2 linked regions of the Drosophila melanogaster genome follow. Changing the gene in region 1 together with any one later gene gives a genetic interaction. Each region holds a gene or a part of one and is shown in the gene's direction. Other genes may lie near its edges.

Region 1 (7,340 bases):
TTTCCAGTCACTCCAATTTCATTCGCTTAATTTCAATATCTTATCGCTGTTGATAGTTCTCGTTTGATAAGTCTGCCTAGAGCCCTAACTTTAGCGTACAATTTCATTGAGGGACATCCTATGAATTGAAAAACGGCGAACGTGTCGTGTTATATTGCCTTATCTTATCGGGGCTCATCGAACCTTAGCTAGAATATGTATGTGAAATGTTAACGCGATCCTCCGGTTGGAATAGATACTCTCGACGGGAGCAGAAGTAATTTTATAAAAAAATCCGATTCGAGGGGGGAAGCGAAGTGAAAAGCTTACAATTTGCTTATATTTAAGTGTTCAATGACCCCATCAAAAGTCCACAAAGAAGACACCAAAAAGCAACACCGAATCCAAACCAACTCAATTTATGTATCTGTATCTCTGCGTATGTATCTCCACGTGTAAAATAGCTATGCATGTGTAAATAGGGTGTATTTTTGGAAGTGAACCGAAGTGAATTTAATTATAATTTTAATATAAATACTTCTTTTAGTTTAGTTTAGTTTCGTTTGAGCGTTTCACGTTCAATCTGGTATCTGTTTGTATCTAGCTTTCATACTGACCGCCAAGCAACTTTACTGATCTATCCAAACACGGCGATCACTTCCATTAAAGACCAGTTTTAAGTCGCTTTATTTCAGAGCTATCCCAACAAAATAACGGCACTTTAACTTTTCCGAACCGCAGCTGAATCCCCTCCCCTCGTTTTTCCCATTCTAGCTGCCCCCCGTTTTGGGAAGCAACTCATAAGAGATAATTGTGTCTTTCCCCCTCAAAAAATATTGTGTCGTTCATACCTTCAGAAACTTTTTGGTCGGGCAACCCAAAAGAGCACGAGCGCACGAATCGGGGGATCGGGGGATCGGTGATCATTCTCTGCCCTCCAACAACACCGCACTCACTCAAAAATAGTTTTTGTGTCGAATGTTAATGAACTTTTGCGCTAGTTTAACGCACAGCCAGCCGAATAAACATTCAGACACAATAACAACGAAAGCCGATAAAGTTTTTTGAACCTGCCTTCACCGAAACTTTTGTATTTCAACATTTGCTTCTCGTGCTCATTCTGTTTTTTGGGAGGGTTTCTTATAAATGTTCGCTTGTTGAAGGTGGAAACTGGTCGTTGGCTTTCTATAGATGGACTGCTCAAAATATATCCCTGAGATTTTGTAGCCTCTAAACGTATAGTTGCCGCAATTGTTAGTTAATTGGTATGCTAAGTGTGGCAAGCAAGTTGGACTTTGGTACTTTAAAGAATAATAACTATAAGACTGCGATAAGAACTATCAGAACTTATTGCCTAATTCGTTGCATTTATGACTCAAATGCTAGAATCTTATCAATGAAAACCCAACTAATTACATCACTTAAATGAAATCACTTCAGAGTTCAAAGTTTATTCAATGCTTGTATATGTACATATTTTCAATTAGTCTGAAATAATAAACGTCGCAGATAACTTAGATACCAATGAAATTTCCCTGAGCTCGGGGAAATTTTGGTGCTCCATAAAAGAGAATGTCATCGGAAAAGTCCGAAACCACTCAAACTCAAAAAAAAAAGAAACACTCGAAAATTTCCCTTGTCATCGCACTCAAACATTTTCCAATTGAGGGAAATTTCAGATCCAATGGGACCATTCTTGTTGGTGGTGGTTGATTTTTCCGTGACAGGGTTTGAGGCAGATTTTTCGGGAACTCACCCACCAGTCTCCGTTACACCATCGAACCGAAAACCTCGGGAGCGGCGATGTGAACATAATCTGAATCCCATTCTACTCCGTTAAGTGTTGTTTGTACGGGTGTTGTGCGTGTGCGTGTGCTTGTGTGTGTGTGTGTGTGTGTGGTCCACACCTCGAAAATGACCGACTTTTCAATGAACGATATTTTGAGATCATTCAGAAAAATGCGTATGAACAAGGGCTCGGGCCAGGGCGGTCAGCACCACCAATACCGCAATCATCAGCACCAACAGCAGCCTCCGCAAAATATGCAACACTACCAACACACCTATCCCGTGCAACAGTCGAAGGACTTGAAGAAAATCATCAAAATCATCAAGAAGAACCTGATCAAGGAGAAAATCACGCGTCAAATGAAAATCCTTGTCTAAAAATGTCATGAGACGAGCTAAATGAATGAATAAATCTTAAGACTGCTGATATACAAATCGAGGGACTGATACTGAAAAACTGACACGAGTTCAGCGCTAAAGTCTGATTTTGTAAACTCAAATCAATGAATAAATTTACAAGTATACACATTGAATAAGAAAAGATCTCTTCAAACTTATAAACTATATTATAAATTAGACTTGCTTACAATTGAATGATTTGACTTGAACAATCAAAAAGTATTATTAGGAGGAAAACCTGTATGGAGCAGTAGCAAGATGACTGAAAGCAAGAATGATACAAAATCTTGGGCACCCAAACAAATTTGGATTAAGGATGTTCTCAAGAAATCGGGCACGGAACTGCTCGATATATCCAAGAGTCCCGCAAAGGCTGTTGCCGTCAAAAAATCGCCGGCGAAAGGTAATTGAGATGCTTTTCCTAAAAATTCAGACCGAAAAAGTTCCCTCACGACGCCATTTTGTTTTGGTATACGCAATTTTTGTTTTGGGGGAAGTTGTGGGGTTCGTTCATACTATCATAACAAAAAAAAAAAAAAATACAACAGCGCGACTGATACAGAAAGTGCGAGCGAGCAGGATGGCAACGGGAAATGCCGGTTGGAAACCGTACGATTCGTAATGCTATCTCCCAAATATCCCAAGTGGGACATTTTCGAGGCAGGGTTCTCAATGAAATTTTTCCCATTTCCTCTGGCTCTCACTCTCCTGCGCCTTCGCTTTTCCTCCCCCCATAAGCTCTCGCTAGGTTTTCCTTATTTTGGAAAACCCCGGCCGGCAATAACAGAAAGTGCGTAGCACAAATTCACGGGGTGGGTTTTCCCCTTTACGCCCTTTTTTCCTTTGGCTCTTACGAGACTTTTCCTAACCACCCGTATTGCACTTTCTATCTGCTTCCGTGTTTTTCCTGAGACGCAGATTGTGAATTGATGGGGGGCAAAGGAGTTAGACCTTATACTATGGTTAAGCTGGCTTTGTAGAACCACAAAAACCAAACAATAGGTTGCTAATATAACTAATAAGCAGTATCTAATTTATAATTTCTTGTATTATTACTTAAGTCTATTTAGAACCAACTATTTTGGTCAGGTATCAAACTAGTTAACTATGGTCAAAAATCTAATGCGGCTCCTTCTTTTTCGCCCTCTTCCAGATTCAGCCACAACCAAAATGGTTTACTATTCCGCCAACCAGCTGCTTATAAAAACGGAACAATCTAGTCAGGCGCAGTTCTGCCTCCAGGTTCCGCCTCCACTAACAGCGACGACCACGAGCGTGGGCCTAGGAGTTCCGCCATCCGGCGGCCAACAGGAGCACTTCGAGCTGCTGCAGACGCCGCAGCAGCGACAAATGCAACTGCAGCTACAGGACCAGCACCAGCAGGAGCAGCAGCAGTTTGTCAGCTACCAACTGGCCATCCAGCAGCATCAGAAGCAGCAACAACAGCAGCAACATGAAAGTATTACGAACGCAGCACCCACAGCAGCTCCATCAGCCCAGCGGATCAAGACAGAGCCCGTCGGCGGATTCCCAGCGTCGGCAGCCGTGGTGTCGCAGGTGCGCAAGCCCAGCGCCAGCAAACCGCAATTCAAGTGCGACCAGTGTGGCATGACCTTTGGCAGCAAGTCCGCCCACACCTCACACACCAAGTCGCACTCGAAGAACCAAGATCTGTCGCTTAATGGCGCCTCTGGAGCCGGCGTTGCTGCGCCCGTCTCAACCGCGGCCATCGAGCTCAATGATGCCGGTCTGCCGGTGGGCATTCCCAAGAGCCCCACCATCAAGCCGCTGGCCAACGTGGCCGCCGGAGCAGATCCCTATCAGTGCAATGTTTGCCAGAAAACATTCGCCGTACCCGCCAGGCTGGTAAGTGTCACGAAAACAGAGATTTGAAATATTTGGACCACCATATCAGTGATATTAATAAGTAATATATCTCCTTCGCTTTTAGATCCGCCACTACCGCACCCACACTGGTGAACGGCCATTCGAGTGCGAGTTCTGCCACAAGCTGTTCAGCGTGAAGGAGAACCTCCAGGTGCACCGGCGCATCCACACGAAGGAGCGTCCGTACAAGTGTGACGTCTGTGGACGGGCATTCGAACACTCCGGGAAGCTGCACCGCCACATGCGCATTCACACCGGCGAGCGGCCACACAAGTGCTCCGTGTGCGAGAAGACATTCATCCAGTCCGGCCAGCTGGTGATCCATATGCGCACGCACACCGGCGAGAAGCCGTACAAGTGCCCGGAGCCGGGATGCGGCAAAGGTTTCACCTGCTCCAAGCAGCTCAAGGTGCACTCGCGAACGCACACGGGCGAGAAGCCCTACCACTGTGACATCTGCTTCCGGGACTTTGGCTACAATCATGTGCTGAAACTGCATCGCGTCCAGCACTACGGCTCCAAGTGCTACAAGTGCACCATCTGCGACGAGACGTTCAAGAACAAGAAGGAGATGGAGGCCCACATCAAGGGCCATGCCAACGAAGTACCCGACGACGAAGCGGAGGCGGCGGCTGCGTCGGCAGCAGCATCAACGTCCGCAGGCTCCTCCGCCGGATCGCCGTCCTTGCAAGGAGTCAGCAGCAACTCCGAGAGCAGCAACCACTCGCCGCCCAGCTCGCCACCGGCCACAAAGAAACCTCGCCAGGCTCGCCAGCCGCGCGTTTCCAAAACCGTTGCAGCCACCCTTTCCATCCCTACCTCCTCGCCGCTCTCGCCCAGCTCACTCAGCTCCACATACTCGCCATCGGCCAGCAGCATGGCCTCGCCACCACCCACATCGGCCCACTACCTGCCCGTCCAGATGGAGGCGGATGCCTTGAGCCGGGACAGCGGCGTGTCCAGCGCCCAGCCCGCCCACAGCACCTATGCAGACGAGGAGCCCACAGATTTGAGCATGCAACAGGTCCAGGGTCAGCTGCCAGAAAGCACTGTGGACTACTACCAGGCACCGCCAAGTCTACTCGAACTGCAGCCACAACCCGCTGGTCTAACCATCAATCCTGCCCTGCTTGAAGCGGCCAGCATTGCGCGTCGCCATGACGACAACGATGACCAGGTGCAGGATGAGGATGTGCACGCAGCCGCCTGGCAAATGATGCAGTTGTGCCGCGGCCACGGCTCCTTACCCCCAACGGAGCAGCCGGCGCCAAGCCACCAGCCACAGGTGCCCACTCTGCACGTCAGCGATCTAGCGGCTAACTACGATGACACCCATGAAGCCACCGTGCTGATCGAGCACTTCAAGCGTGGTGATCTCGCTCGCCACGGGCTGCACAAGGGCTATGCACCAGTGCCCAAATATGAGTGAGTATTTTGGTCCCCCAAGCCGGATGCTTGTGTTTTTGTCTAAGAGTATAACTAAATCGAATTGCTTACTATTCCCATCAGATCCGCTCTACCCAATCCGGACGTTGTGCGACGCGTGGAGGCGGCCATCGGCCTGCGTTCCAGCACGGAGTCGCCGGAACGTAGCTCCTCGCCGGAGAGCGACTCCCTGATGATGGCCGACCGGAACGTGATGACGCTGCCGTTGCGCAAGCGCAAGCACTACATGAACAAGGGCGACGACGGTCAGGTGGATTCGGAGAAGGCTAGCGGAGATGGCACCTCCGCCGCCGGTGGTGCCGCTTCCGTTGGCGCCGGGGATGGACCCGGGTCCAAGGTGATGCGAATGAGCTCGGTCATTCAGTTCGCCAAGGCCTCCTAGGGGTCCAAGGCCGATCCCCAATCAGCATTAAGACTGTCCAAACAAATTCTAACTGAAATTAGCCTAAGTTTTTTCTCTGAGGTTCGGGGTTAGGCCTGGAAAAAGAAAGCATAGAAACGTATGGATATGGCAGTGAGATAGTTTTCCAGCAGCGAAAATGAAAATGCCAAAAGTATTAAAAAAGGGAAAAATTTGTTTTAAAATTAATATTACCTCCTATTACGTTTTATTGGCTTGATCCGAGTTTTGTTGAATGTTTGATTTGAAAATAGTTTCACCCATATTGCAAAATTTCATTTTAGTTTGGCATATACAATGTAGGTATAGTTTGTTTTCCTGTGTTGTCCACTTAGTCAAATTGCAGCAATTGGCATTATGCGTATTAAGCATTAGCATATAACTAAGTTAATTATATATAAAAGATCACTTAACGACGCCCAAACCCAAACCCAAACCCAAATCCAAACCGTACACAATAATAAGTTACGCGCATAACTACATATATACACATATTAATGAGAACGAAAAACCATGGCCATATTGGCGCTTAATATTTATAAAATACATATAATACTTATTTATTATGAACTCTGCTCGCCAAACTTCTTCCTTCCCCTCCACGATTAGTGTCAACGGCATCTTTGACATCATGTACCCATCATTTTATATGCATTTTATACACTAAATAAGGGAAAACTGAGGAAAAAGGATCGGTAACTTTAATTTTACACACGGAGAATATTGAACTGATAAACAAGAAGAAAGCAAGCATAACTACGTTTATATACATTTTCAAACCAGAAGATAACAAATATAATTAAGAGCGTCAGCATAGTTTTTGTAAACGCAGAGTTAATACATAGATTTAAATTCTAAAATCAAATATTGCATGAAAAAACGCAAATGAAATCTGAAAATCAATAAACAAGCGTGAAATAAACCAATTCGGTGTATGTGTATTTTAATGGGGCGTTTTAATTTAAAAAACTTACCCATTTCGCTTGAGAAATCGCAGATGAAGTAACTCGATCCAATTCGGTGATGAAAATGTAGATGCACCAATGTTGGAGGTTAATAACCCTCGTTGGAATATTTTACCATGTTTGCCACCTCATTGAATGCGAATAAAACATCGAAATTTCATTACTGAATGCATTTTTATATATCATTCACTTGTGACTATACGAATGGTGTGCTAAACCCACCACAGTTCGATTAGCTAACATTTTGATTATAAAAATGGTTTTACAATTCATTTGACTGCTTCAACTAGACGCAGTCAGTTTTCCTGTCTGCCTTTGTATAAATGAAATATTAATTAAATTTTAAAAATCATGTACAACGGGCAAAGCTGCCAAACGAGCAAGGCTTCGTTTGCGGTGGCTAGAGAGATAAACAAATTATGATACAACTAAGCAAACATTGCAATTAGTATAAGAGATAAGGCAGCCGGCACAAA
Region 2 (4,923 bases), on another chromosome or scaffold:
ACCTATAATTGTTAAAGTCTTATTTCAATTTTGGTTTTTCACAATTGAAATTGAAGTGAAAAAAAAAACAAACTTCCTATTGAAAGTTTAAATTAACTATTTGTAAATTGTGTAAGTAAATTACAGTTTTTGTCTAACTAAAACTTTTTCATTTGCGCGCAGTTTTTGCCTCCGTGAATTTTACTCCAAAAACATTTTACATTTCCCCGCAACATTTTTCATGAAAATTAGGTTTTTGTTTTATTTCATTTCGGGCTCTCTGTACAATTTTTTTTTCGAGATTTCCCGTTCGTTGTGTCCGAGTCCCAATTTGTGCGCTAAGCTTTTCCCCTCGAAGGGTAATTGCCTCATGTTTCATCTACACATCAATTAGCCGCAACAATTTAATTTGCCCGCCTGGAAATGGGAAAAGTGCGGTAGCTGGATAAAAAAAAAATAATAAGCACACAGCAATTTCAACAAGAAAAATCCATAAAATATTTGTGCAACATTTTCTCGCCGCCCAAACCTGCGGGCCGTTAGTGCGAGTGAGATGGCCAAACAACTGTCGTCAGCTATTTCAAATTGTCATAAAAATTTGATAAGGTTTTTTCCGCTGCTCCCCCAAACCACCCAACTCTGCGAATTTTTATTCCTGCGTCAGCTACAAGGCAAAAATATAACAGAAAAAAATGTTTGGGCACAAAAAGTGTTGGTTGCTCGAAAATATCATTTACAGTTAGACTGCCATGGTAGAGAATTTATAAATAAGCTAATTAATAATTATAAGCTAGTTGAAAATTAAAACTAACAAAACCGCTTTGCAAAACTAAATCATAATTATAATAGCTATATCTATTGAAATCATTTATTAAAGACCTCTTTTGAGCAATTCTTAGCCCACGAATAGCAAACTAGACTTTAAACCCAAATCCACCTTAAGTTTCGATTCTTTTCGCCTCACTTTGCGTAAATGATAATTGAACAATGGGGGCCGCCCATTGGGGCGAAAGAGAGGGGGCGTGCCAAGTGTGAGTGGCTGGCTCTCCCCATCCCTGTCGCGCTTTCGCCGCTGGTGTTGTGTGTGCATGGCAATTTGCGACGCAGAAGTAGAAGAGGAGGAAGCTAAAGAAGAAGCAGTAGCAGCAGTAGCAGCAGCAGTAGCAAAAGTAGCGGTACTGACCAGCGTCCTTTAAACGCCCGTCGCCACCTACCCCCGTTTCCTTATCTTTCGCTGTTAGCTAACAAATTTTTGCGTTGTTTTCGCTGTCTTGTCGTTTTCATTAAAATTTCATTGCTGCCGCGCAAAAATACGAAGGTACGTTGTTGCTTTTTTTTCCTCCTTTTATGACTATGTATTTTTTGCTCCTCGTTTTTTGCTCTTGTGGCAACAACAAAGTTGTTGAACTGAATTTTTTTGGGGTGTGGTCCCACACTCAAACGCACACCAGCAACGTACACACACGCTCATACACGCGCGCACACACACGCGCAGCAGCAACAACACAGCGGTAAATACAGCTGCTCAGCAAACGGTACCACCAGCAGTTGTCTCGCTCCCACTCAGTCAGGTTGTAAGCGGCGTGCGAGAGAGATGCCGCAAGAGAGTGAGAGAGAGAGAGAGAGCGAAATACTGAACGACTGGAACGGAGCGAAACTACGGCTATCTCACTCTGGCGCGCGGTAGAGAGCCGGGCAGCCATTGCTAAAAGCAGGCACTCACTCGCTCTCCCTCTCGTTTCCACCACCGCTGGTGTTTGTTTGTTGTTTTTTTCCTGCTTCTTCTTCCAACATTTTTTCTTGTTGTTTTTCTTTTTTCGCAGACTCTGGTCGAACGACTTTTGCTCTGCCCGCTGCTCGCTGCGCTGCTGCCGCCGCTGCCATCGTCCGTGGAAGGTGTACCGCAATTCATTTCCAGAGTAACTTTCGTGCCGCTCGGGTTGTTTTTGTGCGTCGTCCGTCGCCCAGTTGCTCAGTTGCTCATTCGCCCCGTTCGCCGCTCGTTCGATCGCTCTCGCCACTCGCCGCGTTCGCCGATAAGCAAGCAAGCACCAGCGCAAGCCAATAACAACAATCAATTCGCCGTCGCCAAACCGAATCAAATCAAATCGAAGCAAACTAAACCAATCAAACACAAATAAACAAATATCAACACGAGAAGCTATAGCTAACACAGCTATAGAGAAACAAAGAGCCCCAGAGGAGAATACTAAGTAATACAGAGAGATATATCCTTTTGGATATAACGCAGTGCCAAGTGACGAGAATCTGTTTTTTTACCGTGTTGCCAGTGCTAAACCATAAACATCGCCCAAAAAACATACATCTCTGGAATACAATATTTATATATATATAAATATACATATATATCTTTATATATATGCATGTGTAAAATATACTCATGCCATAACCATATAGTAGTTGGATCCGAAAACAAGTCACCATTGGAATACAGCACCGTTTTGCTTCTAGTTTTGTTTGTGTTTTTTTTTCGGTGAGTGCGATCCGCCGATATCGAGAAATCGGTAGCAATCTATATATCCAGCAAGGAATGTGGAGCCGAGAGATAAGCACGGATTACATGGGGAATCTGTAGACCTAAGTAGTTTTTGGGGGAGCGGGAATCTATCTTAGGGATTACTCTTATCAACTTGTTTATTTAGCAGAGATATTAGGTCACAAGTCTTACATTATCTATGACATATTTGAAATACACTCTTTAAACTTGGAATAATATTGAAAGATCTAACACGCTGTAAAGCTTAATTATTTTCTTTTTCGTTATCGCTTCAACTTTATTCTTGAGCCAATCTTCATTCTTCATTATAAAGCTCAGACTTTAGAGATATGTTATAATATGTTTGGTTCACTATTTTCGATTAGCCGAACTTGACAGATCTTTTGTTTTTCACTTACACTTCTACATATATTTACAAGGTTAAAATGTTCTTCCAAATGCTATAATCAACCGATATTATTTTGCCACATATACTAGTCTTTATTTAGCTTCAGATTCAATGGATCTTAGAAGTCTTTAATTGGAATACTATTCATTGATTTCGGGGACTCCCAAGTCCAACAATAGAGTTACCTATTCCATGCCCGAAACTTTGTTTCAGTTCCTTCAGCTCTTCGTGATATGATGGAGCCTTTTTTTTAAAAATCTGGTTTCGGTCAGGAAATTTCCGCCTATGACTAATGTGCTGATCGTAATGTGAGAAAATGCGCGTTTCGGAGATTCGTTATGATTTTCATAATTTTAATGGGCATATTAAGGCCGCCTCCCCTAATTAGGCAAAACAAAAAGAAGCCAGCAAGAGCCGACCAAATCGATACGAGAAATGTGATATAGAAAAAAGGCTAACAAAATGATAGGGCCAACGGCGAAGAAACCCCAAGAAAATCAATACTAGATACAATAGAAGACAGCCGACGGACCCGTTCGGGTCACATTATTCACACATATTCCCAACATCCCCACATCACCACATTCCCACTTCCCGATGTTAGCGATCGGATCGTCTAATTTCAAAGCGGCGGCTATAAATTAAAATATCTGAATAATACGTTGACTCCTCGCTGGCTACTTTGTTGTTCTGCTTTATTATTAATTTGCATATGGTTTTCTAACATAAAGCAACTGAATATTAAATATGCAAGTCGATTCATTTTTCTCCCATTCCGATAGTCTTTCTCCATTCGAATCAAAGTGTTGAGAATGGGATTCGGATTCGGCTTCAGATTCGGATACGGAGTTCGTGCAGTTGGTGTAGCTGGTGAAGCTGGTGGGGATCTCTTGGGATCTATTCGGTCCCACCCACGCTTGTGCTTGCTGGCCCTGCCTAGATCCCCATAGTATCACAATACCTCAATGTACCAATCTTCCAATGCCAATTCATTCATTCACAACATCCGCCCAGCGTTGTCGATTGTGAATTGAAAGTCGCCGAGATCGCGTCGCGACACATTTGATACCTTATCGCGGATATCCATAAAGCTCAGCGAATAAGTGAATTTCGCTCTAGGAAGCACTGAAAAAAAAAGTACTCGAAGTTGTAGATTCACATAGCAATGGCATAGCTAAACATTAGATCAAGAATTCATTGGAAGTACGTTGGTTCGATATGCTTGTGGGACATGATGTGATAGATATTACAACTAATAGTATTTATCAATATGTTAGCATTCCATATTTTGTACTATTGATTAAGTATTGAACAATACTAGTAGTTCTAGCCTATTCCATAGTGGTTTTTGAGTTATATTTTAATATGTGGGCATATTTTCGCTCACTGTGAAACGGTATCCATTGTTCCGCTTCCCTAGCACGCCCCAAATCTTTCGGATCGGTTTGGTTGCGATCAACTCGAACTCCCACACACTTGGCATGGGTATGGATATATATGCTCGTACCTGGGAGATCGGGTGTTGCCTTTTTTTTTTTTTTGTTTTGTCGTCATCTTTTGTCAATCTCTTGTGGCGTCGCCTCGCCTTAAGTGAGGTTTCATTTCGTTTCAGTTTATTTCATTTCATCCAGCGTTTCTTGGACTTGGACGCACTTACTGACTTTTTTTCTCCCAATTTTTTTTTTTGCCTACCAATTATTTGTATTATTAATTTTTATCTCTCTTCACTCTTTGCTCATTACGCGATACTGGCGGTGTTGTTGCTATTCGCTTCTCAAATTTCGTTGACAAAGCCATTTAAATAGAAATCACTCAGACGGAGGTTTATTTTTTTTTTCAGTTTTCAGTTTTCAGTCTTCAGGTTCCATTTCCAGTTTCGACTTATCAAGATCACATTGACAATGCGTCAAATAATAAGTTTTTCTAGCCGCTGTCGTTGTTTTTCTTGCTGTTTTTGTTTGTGCTGCGATTCGACTGGAGCTCTTTACTCTATTAGTCTATTATTGATATGTACAATATATTTTTTTTTTGTATTTTT

The links.
Region 2: of Kr-h1 (region 1) and oc, changing one suppresses a phenotype caused by changing the other (phenotypic suppression), as found in Drosophila melanogaster (one study listed by BioGRID).

What each region holds. Positions count from the first base shown.
Region 1 is NT_033779.5:6,089,676-6,097,015, forward strand, and holds Kr-h1 (kruppel homolog 1), read left to right. Parts: upstream 1-1,736; 5' UTR 1,737-1,893; coding exon of another isoform or gene 1,894-2,145; 5' UTR 2,146-2,424; coding exon 2,425-2,569; intron 2,570-3,319; coding exon 3,320-4,032; intron 4,033-4,117; coding exon 4,118-5,478; intron 5,479-5,562; coding exon 5,563-5,881; 3' UTR 5,882-6,823; downstream 6,824-7,340. Other genes in the region: CG45075 (uncharacterized protein), read left to right, coding at 1,894-2,145. UniProt on the Drosophila melanogaster protein: Plays a general role in the hierarchies of gene expression leading to metamorphosis.
Region 2 is NC_004354.4:8,647,644-8,652,566, reverse strand, and holds the start of oc (ocelliless), read left to right. Parts: upstream 1-1,885; 5' UTR 1,886-2,192; exon of another isoform or gene 2,193-2,473; intron 2,474-4,923. UniProt on the Drosophila melanogaster protein: Transcriptional regulator involved in pattern formation and cell determination in the embryonic CNS and larval imaginal disks.